Neurospora crassa OR74A: one gene and its partners. The protein of the gene in region 2 binds, or shares a complex with, the protein of the main gene of each other region. Links are inferred from orthologs where the notes say so. Each region holds a gene or a part of one and is shown on either strand. Other genes may lie near its edges.

What was found.
Region 1: NCU11251 (region 2) and NCU09880 share a complex: the UniProt entries of both Saccharomyces cerevisiae proteins name them as parts of the U4/U6-U5 tri-snRNP complex. The link is inferred for Neurospora crassa OR74A from reciprocal best matches to the Saccharomyces cerevisiae genes PRP4 and SMX2.
Region 3: NCU11251 (region 2) and NCU04606 share a complex: the UniProt entries of both Saccharomyces cerevisiae proteins name them as parts of the U4/U6-U5 tri-snRNP complex. The link is inferred for Neurospora crassa OR74A from reciprocal best matches to the Saccharomyces cerevisiae genes PRP4 and PRP6.

What each region holds. Positions count from the first base shown.
Region 1 is NC_026501.1:6,357,897-6,361,644, reverse strand, and holds NCU09880 (small nuclear ribonucleoprotein SmG), read left to right. Parts: upstream 1-1,379; 5' UTR 1,380-1,493; coding exon 1,494-1,523; intron 1,524-1,664; coding exon 1,665-1,736; intron 1,737-1,795; coding exon 1,796-1,870; intron 1,871-1,929; coding exon 1,930-2,010; 3' UTR 2,011-2,328; coding exon of another isoform or gene 2,329-2,522; 3' UTR 2,523-2,640; coding exon of another isoform or gene 2,641-2,965; 3' UTR 2,966-3,269; downstream 3,270-3,748. Other genes in the region: NCU09879 (hypothetical protein), read right to left, coding at 1-848, 948-1,050; NCU10125 (hypothetical protein), read right to left, coding at 2,329-2,522, 2,641-2,965. UniProt on the Saccharomyces cerevisiae protein: Plays a role in pre-mRNA splicing as a core component of the spliceosomal U1, U2, U4 and U5 small nuclear ribonucleoproteins (snRNPs), the building blocks of the spliceosome.
Region 2 is NC_026501.1:4,872,007-4,875,754, forward strand, and holds NCU11251 (pre-mRNA splicing factor), read right to left. Parts: upstream 2,479-3,748; 5' UTR 2,322-2,478; coding exon 2,277-2,321; intron 2,213-2,276; exon of another isoform or gene 2,189-2,212; coding exon 2,155-2,188; intron 2,100-2,154; coding exon 598-2,099; 3' UTR 402-597; downstream 1-401. UniProt on the Saccharomyces cerevisiae protein: Involved in RNA splicing. Is required for the association of U4/U6 snRNP with U5 snRNP in an early step of spliceosome assembly.
Region 3 is NC_026505.1:1,528,165-1,531,912, forward strand, and holds the start of NCU04606 (pre-mRNA splicing factor), read left to right. Parts: upstream 1-1,102; 5' UTR 1,103-1,195; coding exon 1,196-1,530; intron 1,531-1,642; exon of another isoform or gene 1,643-1,682; coding exon 1,683-3,748. UniProt on the Saccharomyces cerevisiae protein: Participates in pre-mRNA splicing. Part of the U4/U5/U6 tri-snRNP complex, one of the building blocks of the spliceosome.

The DNA of each region.
Region 1 (3,748 bases), about 1.5 Mb from region 2:
CTTGGCCTTTTTGTTGAGACTCAACGTGATGCGTTTTCGGTCGTCGTTGTCGGAGTGGTCACTATCGTCGAGTGCGATGAAATCGTGTTCCTTGGCAAGGCGCGCGCGCCGCTCTTTGCGCTCGCGGATCTCGGCTTCGGTGAGGACATGGGCTGCTGGGGCATCGCCAGTGAGCGCTAGGGGCATGTCGCGGGATTGAACAATCATGGCGCCGTCAAGCTCAGAGGGGTCGAGGTCCATGGCGTCGCCCGTTGTCCCGGGCGCGGCAGATGCCTCCGGCAACGGTGCGCTGTGGGTTTTGAGGCTGTCGTCGTCATCGTCGTCGATGATGCTTAGCGAGGCGAGATTCTGTGGTGTGGCTGGCGTGGAGCTTTGGAGTTCTTCAAGGTATTCTTTGCTGTACCGAGGCTTCTCTTCGTCGGCGCCAAATGTGCCGAATCGTGCGGTCAGGGCGGACTTGCGAAGCGCGTTCTTCTCGGCAACTCGTTGGCTCAGCGACTTTTTGCTTGGGGCGCTGACCACGTCGCTGCTGGCAGTTGTTGTCGTATCATTGCCGCCATCTTCCGTGTCGCCCTCGCTGGCTCCGAATGATAGTTTTGAGATGCGCTTCTTCTTGCTGGAGACTGAGCGGCCGAAACCGGGCCGTACTACGAGCGGCACACCAGTGTCCTCCTCGGCTTCTGTTACCTCGGGTGCCGTACTTGTGCTGGTTGACGTAGGTTGGATTGCGTCGCCGCTGGTTTCTTGTGGATTATCGTTACCGTCGTTGATCTTGATCGTTCTTCGTAGTGACGAAGATTTAGTAGGCTTGCTGCGCCCAAACTTGGTCGGTCCTTGCGGTACTGGTTCTGTTCGAAGGCGTATCAGCTTGCTTGTTCTTTGGTTTGGTATCAGCACTGAGATTTTCTATGCTGGAAAGGGATGGGCATGGCCATATAGCAACTTACGTTCGTTCTTCGGCTCCTCTCCTCCAAGCACCGTAGGAAGGTCGCCATCCTCATCGTCAAAGGTCTGGATAATGCGTGGCTTGCGCTTTCCAAAAGAGCTCATTTTTGTGATGATCGACTTGAGTAAAGTGTAGAATGGAAGTAGGTTGTCTGACAGGGAGTTTGTAATACAGTGATGTAGTATTGAGGCGGGCGTGTTGTTTACAGGTAAGTTTGTAGTGCAAAAAGGTGTCCAGACAGCTAGGAAGCTTCGAAATGCACCCTGGAGAATGACGCTGGTGGGCGACTGGATGTCACCACTGCACTGAACACTGCAATCACCCAAAGACGGGCAACGCGAATTGCGGTTTCTTATCTTATCAGTGTCCCCACGTGATGGCCTGGCGGCCGAAAATCACTGGGGATGGTCGCGATTGCACGCGCTGCACAAGGCCCGCCTTCCAGGTTGTTTCAGTGGAGAGTTCCCAGCCAGAACGACGCCATTGCCATTCATTGCAGCAACTCTCTCGAGACCATCCCAGACAACCAACACAACCTCAAGATACAATGGCGCCCGCACAACCTGAACTGAAGAAGGTAAGAACTTACTCTTGGAGAATTGCCTTTCACGCTGAATGGCAGCTGGCTGGTCGAGACTATGCCATTGTCGCATCTCGAACTCCATGTTATTGTTTGTTTAGTATGGTGTAGTGAGCTAACCGACCACTTTCCAACCAGTACCTCGACAAGAGGCTCTTCGTCCAACTCAACGGCAGCCGCAAGGTCATTGGTGTTCTCCGTGGCTACGATGTACGAGATCTCCCCTTTACGAATTCGAACATGATGATTGACGGTTCGCGACGTCATAGGTCTTCTTGAACATTGTTTTGGACGATGCTGTTGAGGAGAAGGATGGTGGTGAGAAGGTCAAGCTTGGCATGGTGGTATGTTTATCATTGTAGAAAGGTGCTGACGTGTCTCCTGCTGACGAATGTGCACACAGACCATTCGTGGTAACTCCGTTGTGATGATGGAGGCTCTCGAGAGAATCGGCGGCGATGAGAGGGGAGGACAGCGCGGCTAATCAACAATCATCTTCTCGCAACACGATAAAACGACCCTGCGCATCTACAAACGCCTACATCAAAAGGCGAGGCATCGGAATAAGCGGATGGCAATTGACGGGATTTGACTATATACCAAGGCGATTTACACTTTACGACGACATCTACAGTGTTCCACGCGGTCTTGGACGGTGAAAAGCTAGGTGGGTTGGCTGGTACGGCGTTCAGTTTCACACGAGGCATGTATTCGGGAAAGCTGCATTATCTTCAACTTAGAAAGGGAAACATCTGCGGCGGTGGTCGAAGAAAAGATACCCAAAGGATTTTTTTGTTTTTCATCACGTACAGCTCTTCTCCGACAACAGCTGCTTCCACGTCTTCTCGTCATAACCGTCCACCATGCGGTCGCCGTACATCCGCACCCAGCCTCGAATCCCGCCCGTCATGACCTGCGACTGAAGATCGCCGCCTACTTCGTTGATATAGTCTTGCATCCAGGCGGCACATCGAGGGCCCCGACCAGCGGAGGAGCCTGGGGGAAGAAGCATCGGTGTTAGAGAGGGTCGGCGGTAGAGGTACGAGTTCAAAAGAGCATAGGATTGATTGGACTCTGTCCCAAGAGTCAATGACAGAGAAAGTCAAACACGTACCACAATAGAAGACCACCTTTTGGATCCCGGCCTGTTTGCACAAAGCGTACAAGCTCTTGCGCGTGGGGAAGAAGCTGTGGGCGGGCAGGTTGATTGATGAGCTGACAGTTCCCCCGGCGCAGTCTGTCCGGCGACAATCGACAAGCAGCAATCTGCGCGATTGGGGCATGTCATCGACATGTTCTTGCTGCTCAAGAAGCTCGAGGACAGTCTGGGGCTCGATATGGACCGGCGTCGAAGTTGGCTCTGGAAATGCTGCCCACCACGGTGTACCATCCTCGCGCCTAGCCATGCGCAAGCAGTGTTCGTGAACGTGTATCGTCATGTTGAGGCCGTTGCTGAGTTGGTTTCTCATTGACTGATTTCTTAGGTTAAGCGGAAGAAATGTACCGTTGATGCATTGTCCGGTATATGAAGGGCAGTCAGGGGTAAACTCTTTGTTTGCCACACTGGATTGGGGCGGCTCTGAGATCTAGTCACATCTTTCAGCAAGCCACGCCGCCAATACTCATCTCGCGGGACATGTCCTCGGCAGTCACGTCCTATCATAAATCACTTGTCTCGTACGATCGGATCCTCTGATGCCGTAGATGGGATACCGCATCCGGAGGTAGTCCTTCCTATCCTATTACTCCATGGAGTTTTTCAGGAGATCGCGGCTAAGGGGGGACGACAAGATGATTTCTTCACCAGCTCATCAACGCGACATACTGCCTGGTCTCGTCGCTTCTATGCAATTTAGTAACCATGAGCATGTTATTTTTCTTATTACCCATATTCATGCCCCTCGCCATTTACCCGTAGATAACTGATAGCTCCGACATCTTGGTTTACTCGGCCCGGCATATAGGGGGATATCACATAACGAATTGTTGAGGTGTGTAAGTTGCAGCACCAGGACACCTGCGACAAAGCGCACCAATCAATATACATGTCGTTGTATGGAAGATTGATAAAAGGTTAAACCACGGCGTTTATAAGGTATACAGTAGCAAGACGCTCCCTCCAACAGCCCAGCGACACCTGAGAGCTATTCTGATTTATACGTCACGGCGTAACTTCCACCAAAGAATGCCCACATCTCCCAAATCAGTCTGTGCTCGCTTCG
Region 2 (3,748 bases):
GTATTGTGAATGACGTCTCTCGCGATAAATACCGGCTGGGGATAAAACCACTTGAAAATGCAGAAATGCGAGAAACGAAGAAGTCAAAGGTTCGAAAACGGACCAACGCTACAAGTTCCCGGTGATGGCGTCTGCTGCCATTGTTTTATCGCCCTTTATCAGAAAGCCAAGCTTCGCACGATGGACCGTGCGTCACCATTTCCCAGGGTGCCAGGGTGACTTTACCAACGCCAACCAACGCGAGCGGCAGGTGTCCCGCCCAACCCTGCCCGCGTCACTGCAGAAAAGAAGGGAGAAGGAATCTCAACAGGCCCACTTTCGCGGTCAGGTGACACCCCTTATCCTTACCGGGTCAGTGAAACGCAACCACAAGGCAACTCAGACGCATGTACCAAAGGCAGCTTGTTATGGGCACCCAGTTGTGGTTGTTGATCTACAAATTGAGACGGCTTCTATGCAATCTATCTGCCGATACTGTCTCTCGTGGAGCGGTAAGCCAAGCCCTGGCCTGTCGCTTGCTGAACGCCCTCCTTGGTGTGTTGCTCCTATGCGAGAGGCAACGACAAGATTCTTGTCGCGCACATGATTGATGTCTGCTCAGGAATCATACAAGCTCCTGGAGTCGTTTCTTCCCCAAAGTTTGACCGTCCGGTCATGGCCACCGCTTACAATCCATTTTCCATCCCGGCTAACGTCAACACTCGCAACAGGCCCTGTGTGGCCGCTGAGAGACTGAACCAAGGCCCAGTCGTCAGCGGAAAATATGTTCACCTTGTGGTCAAAGCCTGCCGACACCATAAAGGTGCCGGATTTTTTGGGAATTTGCATTCCCTTTTCATCTTCGCCAGGAGGCACTCCTTCCAACGGGTCATCCAACCCCTTGAACCACCGCACGTCGGCCACTGCACTTGTATGGGCACCAATGCCTCCAATTCTTTCCACTTTTCTAACGTCCCAGCATTTGATCCAACCATCAGCAGACGCCGTGAGCACCCTGTAACCGTCCGAGCCCCAGTCCAAACCATAAATAGGCTTGATATGGCCGTCCTGATGCCCATCTAGAATCATGGCAGTCCGTCCTGTCCGCAGATCCCAGATTCTTCCGATACTGTCCAAACCCGCGCTAGCGAGTAGCGATCCGTCACTGTTATAACTGACAGCGTATACACCGCGAGAGTGACCTTCCTGGAGAAGGAGCTCGGTGCCGGTTTCAACATCCCACATCCTCCATGACGTGTCTTCTGAGGCAGAAGCCAGATACTTGCCCGATGGATGGAACTCTACACGACATACTCGTTGCGAGTGTCCTGAGAGAGTTCTCAAAGGCGTGTCTTGGTTCAAAGACCAGAGATGAATCTGGCCTTCCGCTCCTCCGGAAGCGAGATTGACTGTGTCGGGAGAAACATTGCGCTCCGGCAGTGTAGCTCCAGGCATCCAGCATAGGCCGCTGACTTTGTTGGTGTGGCCCCTCAAAGTCTTCCTTGGCTCAAGGGTTGGGATTTCGATGAGTTTGACCTGTCCGCCCCAATTGCCAGTTGCGACCATGTTTCCATCAGGCGAGATCCTTGTCATGCTGATGTGCCGCTCTCCTGCCGTTTGACTGCCTTGCAATTCAAACCCTTGAAGCTTCTCCTTGATCTCTTTTCGGTGTTTGACATGTGTCCGCAGTGGGATGGTGGACTCCTTCTTCTGGAACTCGATGCGCTTCTTAGCTCTCGGGATTGAGTAGTGAGCGATGTCGATGCGGGCCTGGAGCAGTTCCGGGCTTCCAGTAGTGTAAAATTCCTCCTCTTGGTCGCCGGCTTCATCTTCCTCGTTTTCGGCGTCCCGCATCTCCACATCGGCACTTTCCTGACCTCCCTTTTCGGCTTGTTGTGTCATGAGTTCTCGTAATCTGTCGCGTCTGTCTGCCGGACCCTCGCCGAAGAGGGTGACAGGCTCGCCCATCTCTCGCAATTTGGCTCGTACCCGGCCATCGTCGGTAGGAACAGCAATCGAAGCCGCTAATCGTTTTCGTTCAAACTGCGATAGAAGAACGGAGGCCTTCTCTGGGGCAATACCAGCCCCAGCACCGGGGATGTCGTAGTCGCGATCGAGGGCTAACACGCAAATCAGTCATGGGTTGGAAGCCATACAAGAGTTTTGGGGACTTACGGACGGAGTCTAGATCCATGCCTCCGCGATCCTGCTTCAGGGGGGGTCAGTCCGGGCTCTGTTTGCAATGTTGAGCAGGTGCCTTCAATGATGCGAGGGGCGCATATAGAGCATGGTCTTACCTCAGGCTCGGCCTCCTCCACGTAGGCTCTACGCGCCGGATGCATAGTGCTAAACTTTCGGTGTTTGTTCGTTTGCTAAATCTTCTGGACACTTGAACGCGAGTAAAGCCAGGTGATTCGAGTCCGGCTTGTGGTTGCTAAAGGACCGTTTGATGTGAGGGCTCGATGTTTTGCTTGCTGTCGTGAAATAGCAGGTGATGCAATCACAGGGAAGTTTACAATGCTGGCGCCGTTGCTGTTGCGGGAGCTCCACTAAAATTTCCGGCGCATCTTCGACCCTAACCCTCAACAAGCTGTCCCACCTGAATGCGCTCATCTCGGTCCTAGCACCACGGGCACCTCGTCTTAAGGTGAACCAACGAATCGCCATGAAGCTTTCACCGATCATTCAAAGAGGTACTTGAAATTTCAAAGTTTCATGTGATATGTGATAGATTCCTTGTTGGTGTCAACATTCGTTAATACCCACTTCGCACACGGTAGGTTTGGTCCGAGGTGACATGGAAGCGCGATCACAAACGGTGCGGCCAGTTCCCCCTTCCCAGCCCGTCGATCAATGCGGTTTAATGACCGCCAATCGAGCCCCGGCTGTTCGGATTCCCCAGACTTGTCAAAACTGAAGATCGGGGTCGGCATCCAGCGGCCTTGGTACACTACACTACCTATACACACATGACACCTGCCGTGTGGTATTGGAGGTTCATTTCTGGACATGGAGAGCAACATGGGGCTTTTTTCAGGTTGAAAGCTAGTGTGGAAAAAGCCTGGAAAATGGCCGATGGTGCATTCCCTTTAATGCGGGTGAGACGTATGTCTGATGTCTCTCACCCGATTTTCACGTGCTCTCGCCAATTCCTCCTGGGACATGGAACGCCCGCCAATTCCTCCTTTTCCTTTAAGTTCACCAGACCAATCCAGCTGGTCTTTCCGCCCTTTCAGTTGCTCGCCTGCCCGGCCTGCCCGGCCTGCCCAGACCGTGACGCATGATGTGAACGCTTTTCTCTTTATCGTGGTTGGCTCAATGGCGGGATATTTGGGTGAGGCGGACGCGGCCCCCTGCCCGGCTAGTGCATTCCAGTCCCTAGGGGTACTAAATTGTGCATAGGTAATACCCAAGGTCACAAACCCGGTCCAGGCCCATCCTAATTCACTGCAGGTGCAGAGTCCGGGCTCCATTTTATTTTAACTTCTGCTGCCCACGGAACTCCATTTCATTGTTGCCATTGTCGACCTCTCTCTTCGCACGCTCCCCCAGTCACAACTCTCTTCTTTTTTCTCTTTTCTGTTTTTTTTCTCTTTCTCTCTCTCCTTCTTGACAGTAAAAACCACATCTCATCGAGCCTTTCCACCCTCAATGCATATCGAGAAGACCGTCGACGACAATTCCACTTCCTTCTTCAAGTACCAGATGCGTGCGATTCCAAGCCATCAAGGACCCAGTTTGACCACCGAACACCGCGCAGACGCTCAGC
Region 3 (3,748 bases), on a different chromosome or scaffold from region 2:
TGAAGCCGCCTGGTTTCCAAGAGATCTTACCTGCGGAGTCATTTGATGAGTGTTTGATATGAGAAGACATCGGGTTTTTGATCAGCGGCTCCATGACTATCACATCAAGCTCTCCTGTGATGGACGAGCAAGAAGGTCTGGACCGAATATGTGAGTGGTAGTAAAGGGTGAAGAAGCGAGCTAGATGCCCATACTTATGAGATTTAGTCAACAGGAGGGTCTCGAAATTGCACATTGGTGGTTCGAGTGGGCGGCGCTGGAGTAGCTTTCCTTCAGTCGCCATGAGTGCTTTGAGACAGTGTATGCAGATTGGAAGCACCTTGTGTACAGACGTTCAAGTTGTGCGAACTCGGATCCCGCTGTATACTCAATCAGGGACGTGGTACTGAATAAATATACCTAGGTAGACGGCCGGCAAGGAGCTAAACCCAGCCTAAATTCATTGCAGAATAAAAAGGCATAGGCTCAGTCATCGTGTGCCGTTGTACAGCATGTTTATTGTAAACAGGAAAACCTGTGTTACGAAGTCTCGGTGAGGGAGTATATTCGCCTTGCATGGTGCCGCCTTTGCGGTTAACCTGACCGTGAAGGTTGAATGGTGCGAGGCATAAATGCTGTAGTTGCCGCACCTGCACAGAAAGAATTTAAATGGGAGGTTGAAGTTGGACATTGTTGGCTAGGCTGATCGCAGGCATTGCCATAGATGAATAATGCATTTCCCTTAGTGATGCTGCAACACGAAGAGCAGACGAGCATCTGGGTGAAGTTGTCCCACTTCACGCCTCACTGAGCCAGGCCATTTCAGTTGCCGACGGCAGGAGCGCTGAAATATCGTCATAGTTGTCTTCTATGGCCATCATGGCTCCGCTGACTGGTGATGGTGAAGACGGGAAAGGAGGTAGATGAATGATAGGAGGAAGTAAACAACGAAAGTGGAATTAAGCCGCCAAGCACTGGTGGAGTCGTAGACTGTTTACTTGGCACTGTGCCTGCCATTCGTTCGTCAAATGCCAAGAGCGCCTGGACCAGTGGCAGGCAGGCTTCAGTGCCCTGGAGTTCGACTTCCACTTCGACTTGCAGCCTGCCGGTATTTTGCCGCTAACTCAAATGTTTGGAGCTACCTCTACGGCCACCACGGTCACAATCCTAGCCACCGCGTCTCTACAATACATCACGAATACAGAAAACCGCCACCATGTCTAGACGGGATTTCCTCAGTCAACCCGCACCCGAGAACTACGTCGCCGGTCTCGGTCGTGGTGCCACGGGTTTCACTACACGATCCGATCTTGGTCCCGCGCGCGAGGGTCCTAGTGAAGACCAGATCAAGGCGGCCGTCGCGAAGAGATCTGCACAGCTAGGTCTGACCGAGGCCAAGGACGACGACAATGAAGACGATGGCCGCTATCAGGATCCCGACAACGAAGTCGGCTTGTTCGCCGGCGGCATATACGAGAAGGACGACGAGGAGGCAGATCGGATATGGAAAGAGGTAGACGACAGGATGGCGAAGCGGCGACAGAAGCAAAGGTTAGTCATTACCTCGTATACATCACTTGACATCCTACATAAATTCACAAAACACCCTTCTACCCCTTCCCCAACACTTTCAAGCAAGCATGTGGTTTATCGGTCAAGATAGATGAAAAGCAGAGTACCGACAAGAAATCGCATTTTCACAGGGAAGCACGAGAAGAAGCCGAACGATTAGAGTACGAACGAAAGAACCCCAAAATCCAACAGCAATTCGCCGGCCTCAAACGAGCGCTCGAGACGGTCACCGACGAAGAATGGGCAAACCTACCAGATCCCAAGGACCTTACCGGCAGGACCAAGAGGGCACGCCAGGCTCGCATGGAGCGCTTCTACGCCGTTCCCGACAGTGTCCTCGCTGCCGCGCGAGATTCCGGCCAGTTCGGTACCACCGTTGCAGAAGACGGCACCGCCACCGAAGGGGTCAACAAGGATGGCACAGTTACAGATTTCGCAAAGATCGGTGCGGCTCGCGACAAGGTGCTGAGGGCGCGCTTGGAACAGCAATCACAGTCGAGTAGCGTGGCCACGGCGGGAAGCGCGACGAGTATCGACCCCAAGGGCTACCTGACATCGCTGTCGAGCATGCAGGGTGCGGAACAAAGCATTGGAGACATTGAGCAGTTCAGGAAGATGCTCAAGTCGGCTGTCGACTCGAACCCCAAACAGGCAGCCAGTTGGATTGCTGCAGCGAGATTGGAAATCGCGGCGGGAAAGCCTGGTGCTGCCCGCAGCTTGATTGCCAAGGGCTGCGAACACTGCCCGAAGAGCGAGGATATTTGGCTGGAAAACATTCATTTGAACGACAACCGGAACGCCAAGGTCATTGCGGCACAGGCTATTCAAGCCAACCCACACTCGGTCAAGCTTTGGGTGGAAGCGATGAAGCTGGAAAACGACCCTAGATCAAAGAAGAAGGTTATCCGGAGAGCTCTCGATCATAACCAAGAGTCCGAGGCGCTATGGAAGGAGGCTGTCAACCTCGAGGAGGACGTCGAAGACGCCCGCATTCTACTAGCCAAGGCGACGGAGCTTATCCCGGAGTCGCTCGACCTCTGGTTGGCACTGGCCCGTCTCGAGACTCCCGAAAACGCCCGCAAGGTTCTCAACAAGGCCGTCAAGAAGCTTCCCAACTCGCACGAACTCTGGATCGCCGCCGCTCGCCTGGAAGAACAACTAGGCGAAGGCAAGAAGCGGCCCGTGATGAAGAACGCCGTCAAGTTCCTCGCCAAGCAGAACGCCATGCCCAAGCGCGAGGAATGGATCGCCGAAGCAGAAAAGTGCGAAGAGGAAGGCGCCGTCATCACTTGCAGCAACATCATCGAAGAGACGCTTGGCTGGGGTCTCGACGAGGACGATGACCGCAAGGAGCTCTGGATGGAAGACGCGCGCGCCTCCATCAACCGGGACAAGTTCGCCACAGCGCGCGCCATCTACGCCTACGCCATCCGCGTCTTCCCCAACAGCAAATCGCTCTACACGGCCGCCATCGACCTGGAGCGCAACCACGGCAGCAAGGAAGACCTCTGGCACGCGCTCGAAAAGGCCGTCGAGGCCTGTCCGCACTACGAAGTCTTCTGGCTCATGCTCGCGCGCGAGAAAGCCGCCGAGGCGGGCGTCGACGAGGCACGCCTCGTCCTTGCCCGCGCCTTCAAGCAGAACCCGGACAGCGAGGACATCTGGCTGGCGGCCGTCAAGCTCGAAGCCGACAACGGTTTCATCGACAAAGCCCGCGAACTCCTCAAGACCGCGCGCCAGAATGCGCCCACCGATCGCGTGTGGATGCGCTCCGTGGCGTTTGAGCGTCAACAAGGCGTCAACGAGGCCGCTTTGGATCTCGTCCAACAGGCCCTACAGCTCTTCCCTTCCAAGCCCAAACTCTGGATGATGAAGGGCCAAATCTACGAAGACCTCGGCCAACTTGGTCCTGCGCGGGAAGCCTACAGCACCGGCGTGCGCGCCGTCCCTTCGTCCATCCCGCTCTGGCTTCTGTACTCTCGTTTAGAAGAAAAGGCCAACAATGTCGTCAAGGCGCGCTCGGTCCTCGACCGCGCCCGACAAGCCGTGCCCAAGTCCCCGGAGCTATGGACGGAACTCATCCGCGTCGAGCGGCGCGCGGGCAACTTGAACCAGGCCAAGTCGCTCATGGCGCAAGCGTTACAGCAGATGCCCAAATCGGGCTTGCTGTGGGCGGAAAGGATCCTCAACCTCGAGC